Linked DNA regions of Xenopus tropicalis. The protein of the gene in region 2 purifies or fractionates together with the protein of the main gene of each other region. This does not show direct contact. Links are inferred from orthologs where the notes say so. Each region holds a gene or a part of one and is shown on either strand. Other genes may lie near its edges.

Evidence for each region.
Region 1: the proteins of nrp1 (region 2) and plxna1 purify together in Homo sapiens (affinity purification with western blotting; 4 studies listed by BioGRID). This does not show direct contact. The link is inferred for Xenopus tropicalis from reciprocal best matches to the Homo sapiens genes NRP1 and PLXNA1.
Region 3: the proteins of nrp1 (region 2) and kdr purify together in Homo sapiens (affinity purification with western blotting; 7 studies listed by BioGRID and IntAct, with this or other methods). This does not show direct contact. The link is inferred for Xenopus tropicalis from reciprocal best matches to the Homo sapiens genes NRP1 and KDR.

What each region holds. Positions count from the first base shown.
Region 1 is NC_030680.2:134,127,260-134,130,914, reverse strand, and holds part of plxna1 (plexin-A1), read left to right. Parts: intron 1-516; coding exon 517-684; intron 685-1,358; coding exon 1,359-1,452; intron 1,453-2,136; coding exon 2,137-2,376; intron 2,377-2,514; coding exon 2,515-2,658; intron 2,659-3,410; coding exon 3,411-3,645; intron 3,646-3,655. UniProt on the Homo sapiens protein: Coreceptor for SEMA3A, SEMA3C, SEMA3F and SEMA6D. Necessary for signaling by class 3 semaphorins and subsequent remodeling of the cytoskeleton. Plays a role in axon guidance, invasive growth and cell migration.
Region 2 is NC_030682.2:22,722,638-22,726,292, reverse strand, and holds part of nrp1 (neuropilin-1 precursor), read right to left. Parts: intron 2,925-3,655; coding exon 2,750-2,924; intron 1-2,749. UniProt on the Homo sapiens protein: Cell-surface receptor involved in the development of the cardiovascular system, in angiogenesis, in the formation of certain neuronal circuits and in organogenesis outside the nervous system. Mediates the chemorepulsant activity of semaphorins.
Region 3 is NC_030677.2:40,295,360-40,299,014, reverse strand, and holds part of kdr (vascular endothelial growth factor receptor 2), read left to right. Parts: intron 1-674; coding exon 675-874; intron 875-1,190; coding exon 1,191-1,315; intron 1,316-1,727; coding exon 1,728-1,896; intron 1,897-2,262; coding exon 2,263-2,402; intron 2,403-2,523; coding exon 2,524-2,692; intron 2,693-3,655. UniProt on the Homo sapiens protein: Tyrosine-protein kinase that acts as a cell-surface receptor for VEGFA, VEGFC and VEGFD. Plays an essential role in the regulation of angiogenesis, vascular development, vascular permeability, and embryonic hematopoiesis.

The sequences.
Region 1 (3,655 bases), on a different chromosome or scaffold from region 2:
CCCCTTTAATTAGACAGCCCCATATATATACCCCCTCCCCCCAGTCATACTTTTATTAAAATATAAGGTATCTAATTGGTTGCTACCAGGTAACATTATTTTTCATGTCTGCCTCTAGTGGCACTAGTTAGCATTGCAGCCTCATTGGGTTTCTGGCTTTGTTTCTAAGCAGGGTGCTGCCTATGGATTTTCTTCCCGCAGATCAAAACATAATCGTCTTCTGATGAGAGTGAAGTGTGTGGTTCTGCAATAGGAAAATTAGAGTGTAAGCTCCAGTGAGGCAGGGACTGATAAGATTGCCCATTCTCTGTAAACCCTGCGTAATGTGTTAGCCCAGTCATAGTAATGGTTGCTTACTGGTTCCAGAGCTTGTCTCCAATCATTCAGCGCATGTTTTTTTCCACGCTTGGTCGGTCAGTGAAATGTTAATGTTTTTTTTTTCTATTTCTACAAAGTGTAAGAAATCCTAAGCAGTCTGATTTGAATTTCATATATATTTTTTTTCTTTTCTGGCAGGCGTACTGCGAAAGAGATCCGCTGTAAGACTCCGCAGGGACCAAGCACGGGTAAAGCCGAAATACAAATCCACATCAACCGCGCCACACTGTACAACTCTGAAGTGCATTACAATTACACCGAAGATCCAACCGTGCAAAAGATAGAACCAGAGTGGAGCATCGCCAGGTAAAAACCATCCTAATCCTGATGCTTCTTGTTAAGTGATGCAACTGCAGATGTGTAGGCCTCATTTTGTCCTTTCTTTGTTTTGCCTTTCCTGCTTCTTCCTTTGCTTCCTTAGCTTTCTCCTAAATTACGTGTATACTGGGAATGGTAAAGTGTTCTGATTGCAAAATATAGTATATTAGTGCCCATTTAATAAATATTCTCTGGCCAAAAGGATGAAAGAATGTTGATCCAGTCTTTGATCCCTGGGCAAATGATGCAATCATAATTCAGGATGCCCCAATATGTAAGCCAATAAGCTATTGGATAGGTCTGAAGGGGCTGAATAGGCAGCTTTTATTGGCCAGTGTTAGGGCAGTTTAAATCAACCAAACAAAACAAAATGTATTTGTATGAACTGTTCAACCGTTTGCCCTTAAATTCATACAGGCTACATGTCTGCCCCTGGTACTAATAGGTATTACTAGCTGGCCAGAACTAAGTTGTGCATACTGTTTTAATCACTTTCATATATTTGGAGGTATGAAAGTAATTAATGGGAGGTGTGACTGGCCCTTTCGGCCTGCAGGGCAGATGTTAATACTGTTGGACCATATTGTGCTGATAATACCGAAAGGCCAGTGGATATATCTGTTTAATCTGACTAACCATCCCTGTTCTTGTTCTTTTTTTAGCGGGGGAACCCCTCTCATAGTAACTGGGCTGAATCTGGCAACTATTAAAGAACCCAAAATAAGAGCAAAATATGGAGATGCAGAGAGAGAAAATGTGAGTATCAGAGCAAGTTAAGTTGGTTCTGCTGCTCTTGGTGATTGGTTGAAACATGGCATTGGTTGTGAGATCTTTTGGCAGGGTCCTTTTTCCATCTAGTGCCAGTTTATCAGTGGCCATTTTGTATATAATCTGTATGTTCAATGTATACCCATTTATTTTACAGTTCAAGGGGGTATAGTATGTTGACCCTAACTGGCCTTATTGTAAATATGGCAGTTATGTAAAAGGGTTCTTAGTGAACATTAGTGTACACTCCTAGTTACAACCAAGCTCACAACTTAAGGAAACTACTTTCTGCACAGTGAGATGGCAAAACTTTGGCTTCATTCCTACGTGAAGCTGTGTCTTGCTCTTAACTGGCAGTGGGCAGCATCCTTTAATCTCATATAAACACCCAGTCTGCTGTGCATTTCATCAGCCTTACAATAGCAAGTCAGGAGCTGCTTCTGTGCAAGAGTAGGAAAGTAATGGGGACCCTGCCAGCACTGCTATGTACCAATCACACTGGCTTTTTATTGTATTGCGGCAAGCCTTTCTTGCTACCCTGCCCACACAGAAACTAGTTTAACCAGAGATATCTGCCTAAGACTGGCGATTATTCATTATAATTAATGAACTTGGAGGTTTTTGTTTGCTTATTCTTCAGTGACACTCATGCCATCATGTCTTCCTTTCTAGAACTGCACTGTGTACAATGACACCACCATGGTGTGCTTGGCTCCCTCCGTTGAGAATCCCTTGAGGAGCCCGCCAGAGAATGGGGACCGTCCTGATGAGATAGGTTTCATAATGGACAACGTTCTGGCCCTCCTTATTGTGAACACTACCAGCTTTCTGTATTACCCAGATCCTGTGTTTGAGCCACTGACGGCATCTGGAAACCTTGAGCTGAAGCCTAGCTCTCCTCTTATAATCAAGGTTAGCAGGAGCTTTTTATATATTAATGAAGGAACCAGGGCATGGATTTCTACTAGCCTTGCTACTCCCAAGCTACACCTTGATCTGTACTGAAGGTATAAATCAAAGCCGCTTAGTGTTTCTCTCTCTTCTTTGTAGGGTCGGAATCTCATTCCAGCAGCCCCAGGGAACTTCAGGCTTAATTATACAGTGTTGATTGGTGACACACCGTGTGCCCTTACTGTCTCTGAGACCCAGCTCCTGTGCGAGTCTCCGAACCTTACTGGACAGCACAAAGTCACTGTAAGTGTGGCATAGACTGCCTATATATCACTGTTTGTCATTATAATAATGTTCTTAAAGGCATAGGGGGAGCAGTTTTGATATATGTGCAATAAATTCTACATTGTTTAAAAATGCCATACAGAAATAGGAATAACTGAAAAAGGAACTATGTCTACACATTCCTGTCTGCAGAAACATCAACCTTTCTGTCCTTCATGCCTGTAAATTTAGTTGTATTTATAACACAACTGTACCACAAAAGCATCATAAACTCTGTATGAAAGACTCTATATGTGCCCTGTAGGGTCTTCTACAGTTGCTGTTTGCGCAGATGTTGACCAATTAAGCCAGGGCTTAATATCAGATATCAAAGAAGAAAAGACTCCATGTTGATATAGTTTGGTGCAACTTATCACTGTAAACCTTTCCATGACACTAGCTATGATACTACATAGGCTATTTGTCCATCCCAGGCAGGCAAACAGTGTTTGTCCTAGTCCTACCCATAGTACCTTGTTCCTAGCTGGAGCTTATTGTATTGGATAGGGGCACTCAGAAGAAGAGTATTGATTGGCTGATTGGTGCAGACTCTGCCCATCCACGAAAGCGTCATGATTCAGATATTGGCCCTAAGGTCAAACATTTGGATAAACCTAGTTTAGCCAGGGAGGGTCTTAGGTTGCTGACCCCAAGTACTTACCCAGTTTACATGTATCTTGTGTGTATCTGTGGCATATACCCTAACCAGGCACTCATCCCTTATGTCTCAGATTAAAGCCGGAGGGTTTGAGTACTCACCGGGCACACTGCAGATTTACTCGGACAGCCTGCTGACCTTGCCTGCCATCATTGGAATTGGAGGAGGAGGTGGTTTGCTCTTGCTCATTATAATCATTGTGCTTATTGCCTACAAGAGGAAATCGCGGGATGCTGACCGTACCCTGAAACGGTTGCAGCTGCAAATGGACAATCTGGAGTCCCGTGTGGCACTGGAGTGCAAAGAAGGTAGGTTGGA
Region 2 (3,655 bases):
GGCTGATACAGCTATGGGGCCCCCTGACTAAATATTGACCCTGAAAGTGTGGCTAAGTCTGGAAACGAGTTGTGCTACACTTAAAAAGGAGATGCACTTTCATATATCGCTGGCCACTAACCTCCAGAGACCCCCTCAGCATGCTGGGATTCGTAGTTTTGAAACAGCTGGGTTGAAGGACTATGGTTATCCTGTTCATTGAGCAGAATCAAACTGCATAGCTGCTAATTATATTGAATGCATAAGGCAGGGCAGCCCAGAAATCAGTGTAGGCTGCAGCATGCATCCATTTCTAGTAAGCCATACAAAATATGGGTCGGATGTGTGCAGTTTTAAAGGGGTAAATTGGCAGTTGCTAATGGCACTAGCTGCTGGCACAGAACAGATAAAAACACATCTTTCAGAATCAATCCCTAAATTACAAGCAATTATAAACAAAAGGTAAGTAGATTAAAGCTCCGTAATTCTAGGTTCTGGCTGCCGACCCAGAAAAGCAAACAGCAGAACCAGATTACAGACGTCTGGGAATTATATTTGGGGAGGGGCAGTAGGGGGGGGGCTTATATGACCCCTTTTTGTTCACTTCCATTCCTTTTATGTCAAGTTATACTAAACCCAAATGAGTAAGTCTATAATCTCCTGCCCAATAGAGCACTTCCAGGAAAGAAAACATTAGGGGCTAATTAGAAGTTAAGCAGCGGCTCGCCTGGAATTTCCCCACCCAGTACCGACCCACTAGTATGACTCCCTGCCTTGCAATCTATTCGCTGGGTTCTGTCAAATCTGTTTATTGACGCACAACCACTCAGCTACCATTCCCAGTAGTCCCGGCTAGCAGAGGATGCTGGGAGCTGAGATTCACAGCAGATGATGGAACATCCCTAAAGGGCAACTCCACCCCAAAACTCAAAAAATATTCAATTCTTTTAACGTTAGTTGTGATTGTAGTTGCAATTGAAATCTGTAGCAGAAGCCAGCTGATTAACAGACCCAGGGGACAGACCTGCCTTACATTGTTTCAAATGAGAACAGGAAGGGTTAAAGGAACCCAGCTTTCAATAGCAATTGTATTTACACATGACTTTAAATCCATTGCATTGTGTAATGAATATATCATGGAAAATTACTAAGAATTATATTTTCTGTCATTGGGCAACATTTCATTTTTGGATTAAAGGTTGCCTCTAAAATGTAATTTGGAATGTTTAGACTAAACACAATTCATCTGGCACAGAAGGAGTTAAGGTTGAACCGTACAAGTCAGCAAGAGCCCTATCCCCTTGGGAATACCAAGGAAAGCCATTAGCACCAAAGAAATTCCAAAAATCCCACAGGATACCCACAGCAATTGCCTGGAAGTGAAAGGAATGGCCACAAAACCCCATGAAGATAAACAATATATATATATATATATATCATGCCTGTTATAAAGGTCTAGCACTTGGGCATCCTCTCCCCCCCCCCCCACTGTTCTTGGACTACAACTCCCAGCATGCCACCTTGGTTGCAGTTTAAGTTAAAGAAGCAACCAACTGCAAGCTGCTATAGAACAGCACCATGATACTATACAGCCATTTGATAATGGGAGCACTATGGATCACCTGATGCACAACAGTACCATGTTCCCAGCCAGTGAGTTGGCACAAAGGCTAACATTCCAAAACCAGAAGCCACAAGAAATTCCATCTGTATATTGTAACCTGGAATTTCCTGGGAAATCCCTCCCACCAAAAGGTACAACAATTCCACCAGTAGATCAGATTTATTGTTCTGAACATATATGTATAAATGGCCAATATATATCACAGCACTGTACATTAGCCCGGTGTATTCAGCACACAGATTTCATACATAAAAAGAACTGAAAAGCGACTCAGTAGGTAAATGGAGCTTTCAGTCTAATTTGGCAGCGCAGAAATGGACTCAGTCTCTGGATAGGGCTCAGCGCTAGGATTTGGGGGGAAGAAATGGGAACAGGCCAATAAATGAGATGAAAACCAGGCCAGGCCCTGTTAACAACATCATTAACACAGGTTAGTGTGAGCCCAGCGAACGTTTAGATTTAGTATAAGTGCCTTCAGCAAATGATCTGATATACACCCCGATCCCCAAATGAGGAGAAGTCTGCCAGTGACCCCCCCCACACACATACACACATACATACAGACACACACACACATACACACACACATATACACACAAACACATTGACACACACACACGTACATACAGACACACACACACATACAGACACACACATATACACACAAACACACACACATTGACACAGACACACACACATACAGACACACACACATAGACACACACACATATACACACAAACACATAGACACACACACATACACATATACGCACTAACATACAGACACACACACACACACACACATACAGACACACACACACACACACATACATACAGACACACACATACACACACACACATATACGCACTAACATACAGACACACACACACACACACACACATATACAGACACACACACACACACACACACACACATACACACACACACACACATATACACACAAACACATAGACACACACACACATATACAGACAGATACAGACACACACACATATATACAGACACACACACACATACATACGCACACACTCACTGGCAACGCTCCGCGGAAGCAGAAAACGCTTGCAGTTGCCGACACTTGGCCAGTAGATGGCGCCCCTGATTTATAAAAATCTGCGACTTACTTGCACTCCCGGTCTTCCAAGTCAAAGTGAGGGTTGAAGTTGATCATGATCCGCTGATACTGTTCCGGGGCCTGAATTAACCATTCGCATCTCTGGGATGGCAGATATGAATGAGGGTACCCAGTAGAAGTAAGGTAGCTGGGATTCGTGATCTTTATTGTATCTCCACATTTGTCTGCATTTAAGTACAAAAAAAGGGACACATGAGAGATGGCATTTTGATAAATGTAATATCTGTTTGCATAACCATTTCATGTACTGCTATATATATATAGACATAGAATAACCACAGCAAGCCTTCATGCTCACTAAGACTCTGTCAGCCGAAACGTTGATATTGAATAGACATTATTTATTAAGTAGCTACATTTATATCTATATATCACACACACATATACTTTCATGTGGGCACAGGGCTGTTCTGAAACCAGTGCAGTCACACTTGTTATTCTGTACTTGTCTTTTAGAGGGAAAGTTAATAGGGTATATTTAAATGTCAGTGATAAAATAACAGCGTTGAAGGGAGCTCGTTTCTGAGTGTAATTGGAACCTGTGATCTAAATGAACCAGCTCTCCGACTTAATAAGGATTCCATCTCCCAAAGAAAGAAAAGAGCCCAGCTCCAGACACATTAAACCCACAGAGTGAATGCAAAACGTGTGCTCTGGGCTCTACAGGCAGTCTCAAATTATTGCTGAGCAGTGTAATCTTATTAAGTAACACGTTTTAAGTGGCTTTAGACTAAACCATGCAGCTTGCCCCCCTGCAAAGTCTTGGAATGATAAGACATTCAGAGGTCGGGGCAGGAGGGTTTGTTTCAGACCCATCTTTTGTTTCATTGCCCCATAAATCTCAGCAATGTGGACTTGTATGTTCACTGACTAGACGTGATTTAAGCACAATTTG
Region 3 (3,655 bases), on a different chromosome or scaffold from region 2:
TTATTGACCTCTGCCCCAGAATATGAAATAGATTGTTCTTTAGTCAACACTAAAGTTGTGTTGGATGAAAAATTGTTGAGACAAAAATTATTTTTGTGTTAAAAATTTGGACATATACAATATTTAATATTTCCTGATGAAAGAAAATATAATTCTAAATAATTTTCCAATCTCCACCACTCCATTTCCCGGAAGATCCACAAGATTCTTTTAATCAGCTGGCTTTTGCTACATTGTTTCAGTAGTCAAACCAGCAGGACAGATACCTGCAAGGGAGACACAAATCCTGCTTTCAATACTAGTTATATTTACAAATAACTTTAAAGCCACTGAATATTTTTAATGAATGTCATTTGGAAACTTGCTTAGAATTACACTGCTATGTCCTGCTGTGACTCCCAGACTGGTTCCTACCTATGGGCACATTAAGTGTGTGTTCCATGCCATGCCCTTTTTGTGCAAGTACAGGTATGCAAGAGTTAACTCCATTCTTCTCCATGGGGGCTGTACCAAGAAGAGCACCCTGCAATGCCATTATCTTTACCAACAACATTACAAAGCAAGCATACCCTTGCAAGAACAAAATGACTATTTGCATTTGTTAACATAAATTATTTTTTACTTGACAAGTTCAAGTTGGAAAAGCTTTAAAGGTAACACATTTGTTCTTGTAGGGGACAGAGACCTGTGAATTGGTCGTGGCCAATAAACCACAGCAACAGTATTAATAATCGCTTATCTGTCAGTGAGTGCAATGAAAGTTCCTACTGTCTGACGCTCACACTTACCAAGGTTGTAGCCAATGACAGCGGGATTTACAAGTGCTACTACGAAGACAGTAATGCTACAGCCAGTGTTCGTGTCTTTATTCGGGGTAAGTGTCTGCTTATTATACTGCATCTTTACTCGATATAAAGCCACATTTTTTGGATACTGTAACAAAACATGCACTGTGTTTATTGCAAAGTTTACCTTTTGGGAACATTTCCCCAACTAGTCCCTATTGCCAACTATTTTCTCAGCAATTGTCTCCTGATAAAACTGGCCACAGTGTGTTTGTGTGAATGAGAAAAGGGCTTAGATTGTAAGCTCCACTGGGGAAGGGAATGATGTAAAATCACTTAATATAATAATAATGCTAATAATTCATGAAAAGTTATGTCTAAGTAAGTATTTTTTTTGTTTTTCAGATGAAAGGTCTCCCTTTGTGCCTTCAATAAGTGAACAACTTCTTGCTGTTTATATCACAGAGAATAAAACAGTGACAGTACCATGCTTGGCCTCTAAACCTGATCTGAATGTCACACTGTGTGCGGTAAGAAAGAGGAAAGCTTGGGGGTTTGGTCTGAAACTGGTTCCAGTCCTGCTTAGGTATTAGGTTAGTGTCAGTCTGTGTTGTAAATAGGCCAAGACTGATAATCAGAATAGGCTCTGGCATTTCAAGTACACAGAGGCCCAAACGGCCCCCACCAGTCCAATAAATAGTGACTTTGTATGGCATCTTACAGCATCCCCTCTGGCATTTGCCATAATCCATGTCTGGTTGTAAATGTATTTGCTGTGTATGTGCAGGTTTAGGATAGTTGCAGGACACTGTGCCATACCTATCATTTGTCTAGCCACTGGCACCCCCCACCAGTGCGACTGTATTGGCCTGCTGTAGATCTGCACTGTAAATCTAAAGTGCTTTGTACATTCTGATTTGTTATGCTGTGATTTTTTTTCAGAAATATCCAGATTCCACATTTCATCCTAATGGTAACAGCATACACTGGGATCACAAAAAGGGATTCACCATTTTAAGTGAATTATTAAAGACTGTGAGCTGGGTCTCCTGTGAAACCAAGCTCAATGGAGAGGTCTATAGATCACCTTCTTATTTTGTATTAGTTGTAGGTAAGAAGATTTTTTATTAACGTATTTGCACTATTACAACAGTGTGCCATACTTTTATGAGTATGAGTTGTACCAGTTTAGTAGTGGGGATTGTCTTAGTTTTGTATAATGTTGTATTTAAAATATGTAATGAAAAGGCTTTTAATGGCATTTGTTTATAGTTCAATGATACAGGGCCTTATTTACGGAGAGATGCGTAGTACACAATTTTGTAATTGCTGCTATGTGCAAGGAATGCTGCAATATGGATGCAGTTCATCTCCCATTTGTAAAGTTGCATGCATTTCATAATGGGCATCAACACGGGCCCTTAATATGCACAACTATAGCTTATTATGTACCTGCAATATTCTCTTTTTGCTTCAGGTTTTAAGATATACAGCCTGTCCATGAATCCCCATCCTCAGGTTCAGCTGGCGGTTGGAGAGAAACTAGCTTTAACGTGCACTGCTCATACTCCCCTAAATGTGAGGGTTGACTTTAAATGGGACTATCCTGCAATAATGGTAAGTGCAATGTTCCTGAAAATGCCATCTTCTTACTTATTTCTCACTCAATTTTTGCATGAGGTTTTACATTTTGACTTTAATGAAATAATATTAAGTCAAACTTAAACTCTTATTCTAGGAGAAAAGTGCAGAGACCAAAGGGCTCAAAAAAGAACTTCATGGGGGACTGGAACTTTCAGGGATCTTTATTATCGACTCTGTTACATTGAAAGACAGAGGCAACTACAGCTGCACAGCATACACTGGCCTCATGTCAAAGACCAGCAGTACAACTGTGATTGTACATGGTAAGGTTTTTCCAATAGTCTTCATATTATATTTGGCATTCCTCTTGCAGTCTCTTGGACGCACTTATTATAGCCAGTTGGGGCTGGCCACATATTTCCTGAAGCCCCAGTGAATGCCCTGCAGCTCTGTGTGTCAGATACAGAGCAATATGACTACACATGTACATAGCTAAATTGCACAGGTTTGAGGCCACGCACATAGAGAATTTATAATATTGTTAAATTTGTTAAGTAGGGCATGGTATAGCAAATGATTAGCTGTGTGATATCAGCTTATATCACAGGGGGGCGTAGAATTACAATTTGAAACGGGCCCCAGTGGTCCAGTTGTGTGATGGACTTGATGTACTACATTGACTTTAATTAGAAAGGAAAAGAGGAGTGTTTATATAGCTCTTCTTCTGTGGCATTTGTGGGTTTTCATGCTTTAAAGAAATCAAGGTAGACAGCAAAGGTGCACTATGCATATTGGGATACCAGGACATAACCATTATGGAATAAACTGAATAAAAATGTTTATCGCATTACAATTTAATATGAAATATGAATGAAACATTTGTGCAGATCTTATAATATTAGTGTCTAGGTTTGTAGGTCATAGATGGGCCGGGCTGCATAAAAAGGCATACAGTATATCTCAAGCCAGTATTATAAATATCAAAATAGAAATGGGTTTTCATGCTTTAAAGAAATCAAGGTAGACAGCAAAGGTGCACTATGCATATTGGGATACCAGGACATAACCATTATGGAATAAACTGAATAAAAATGTTTATCGCATTACAATTTAATATGAAATATGAATGAAACATTTGTGCAGATCTTATAATATTAGTGTCTAGGTTTGTAGGTCATAGATGGGCCGGGCTGCATAAAAAGGCATACAGTATATCTCAAGCCAGTATTATAAATATCAAAATAGAAATGTATGCCCTACTGACATTTAGGGACAATAGACTCTAC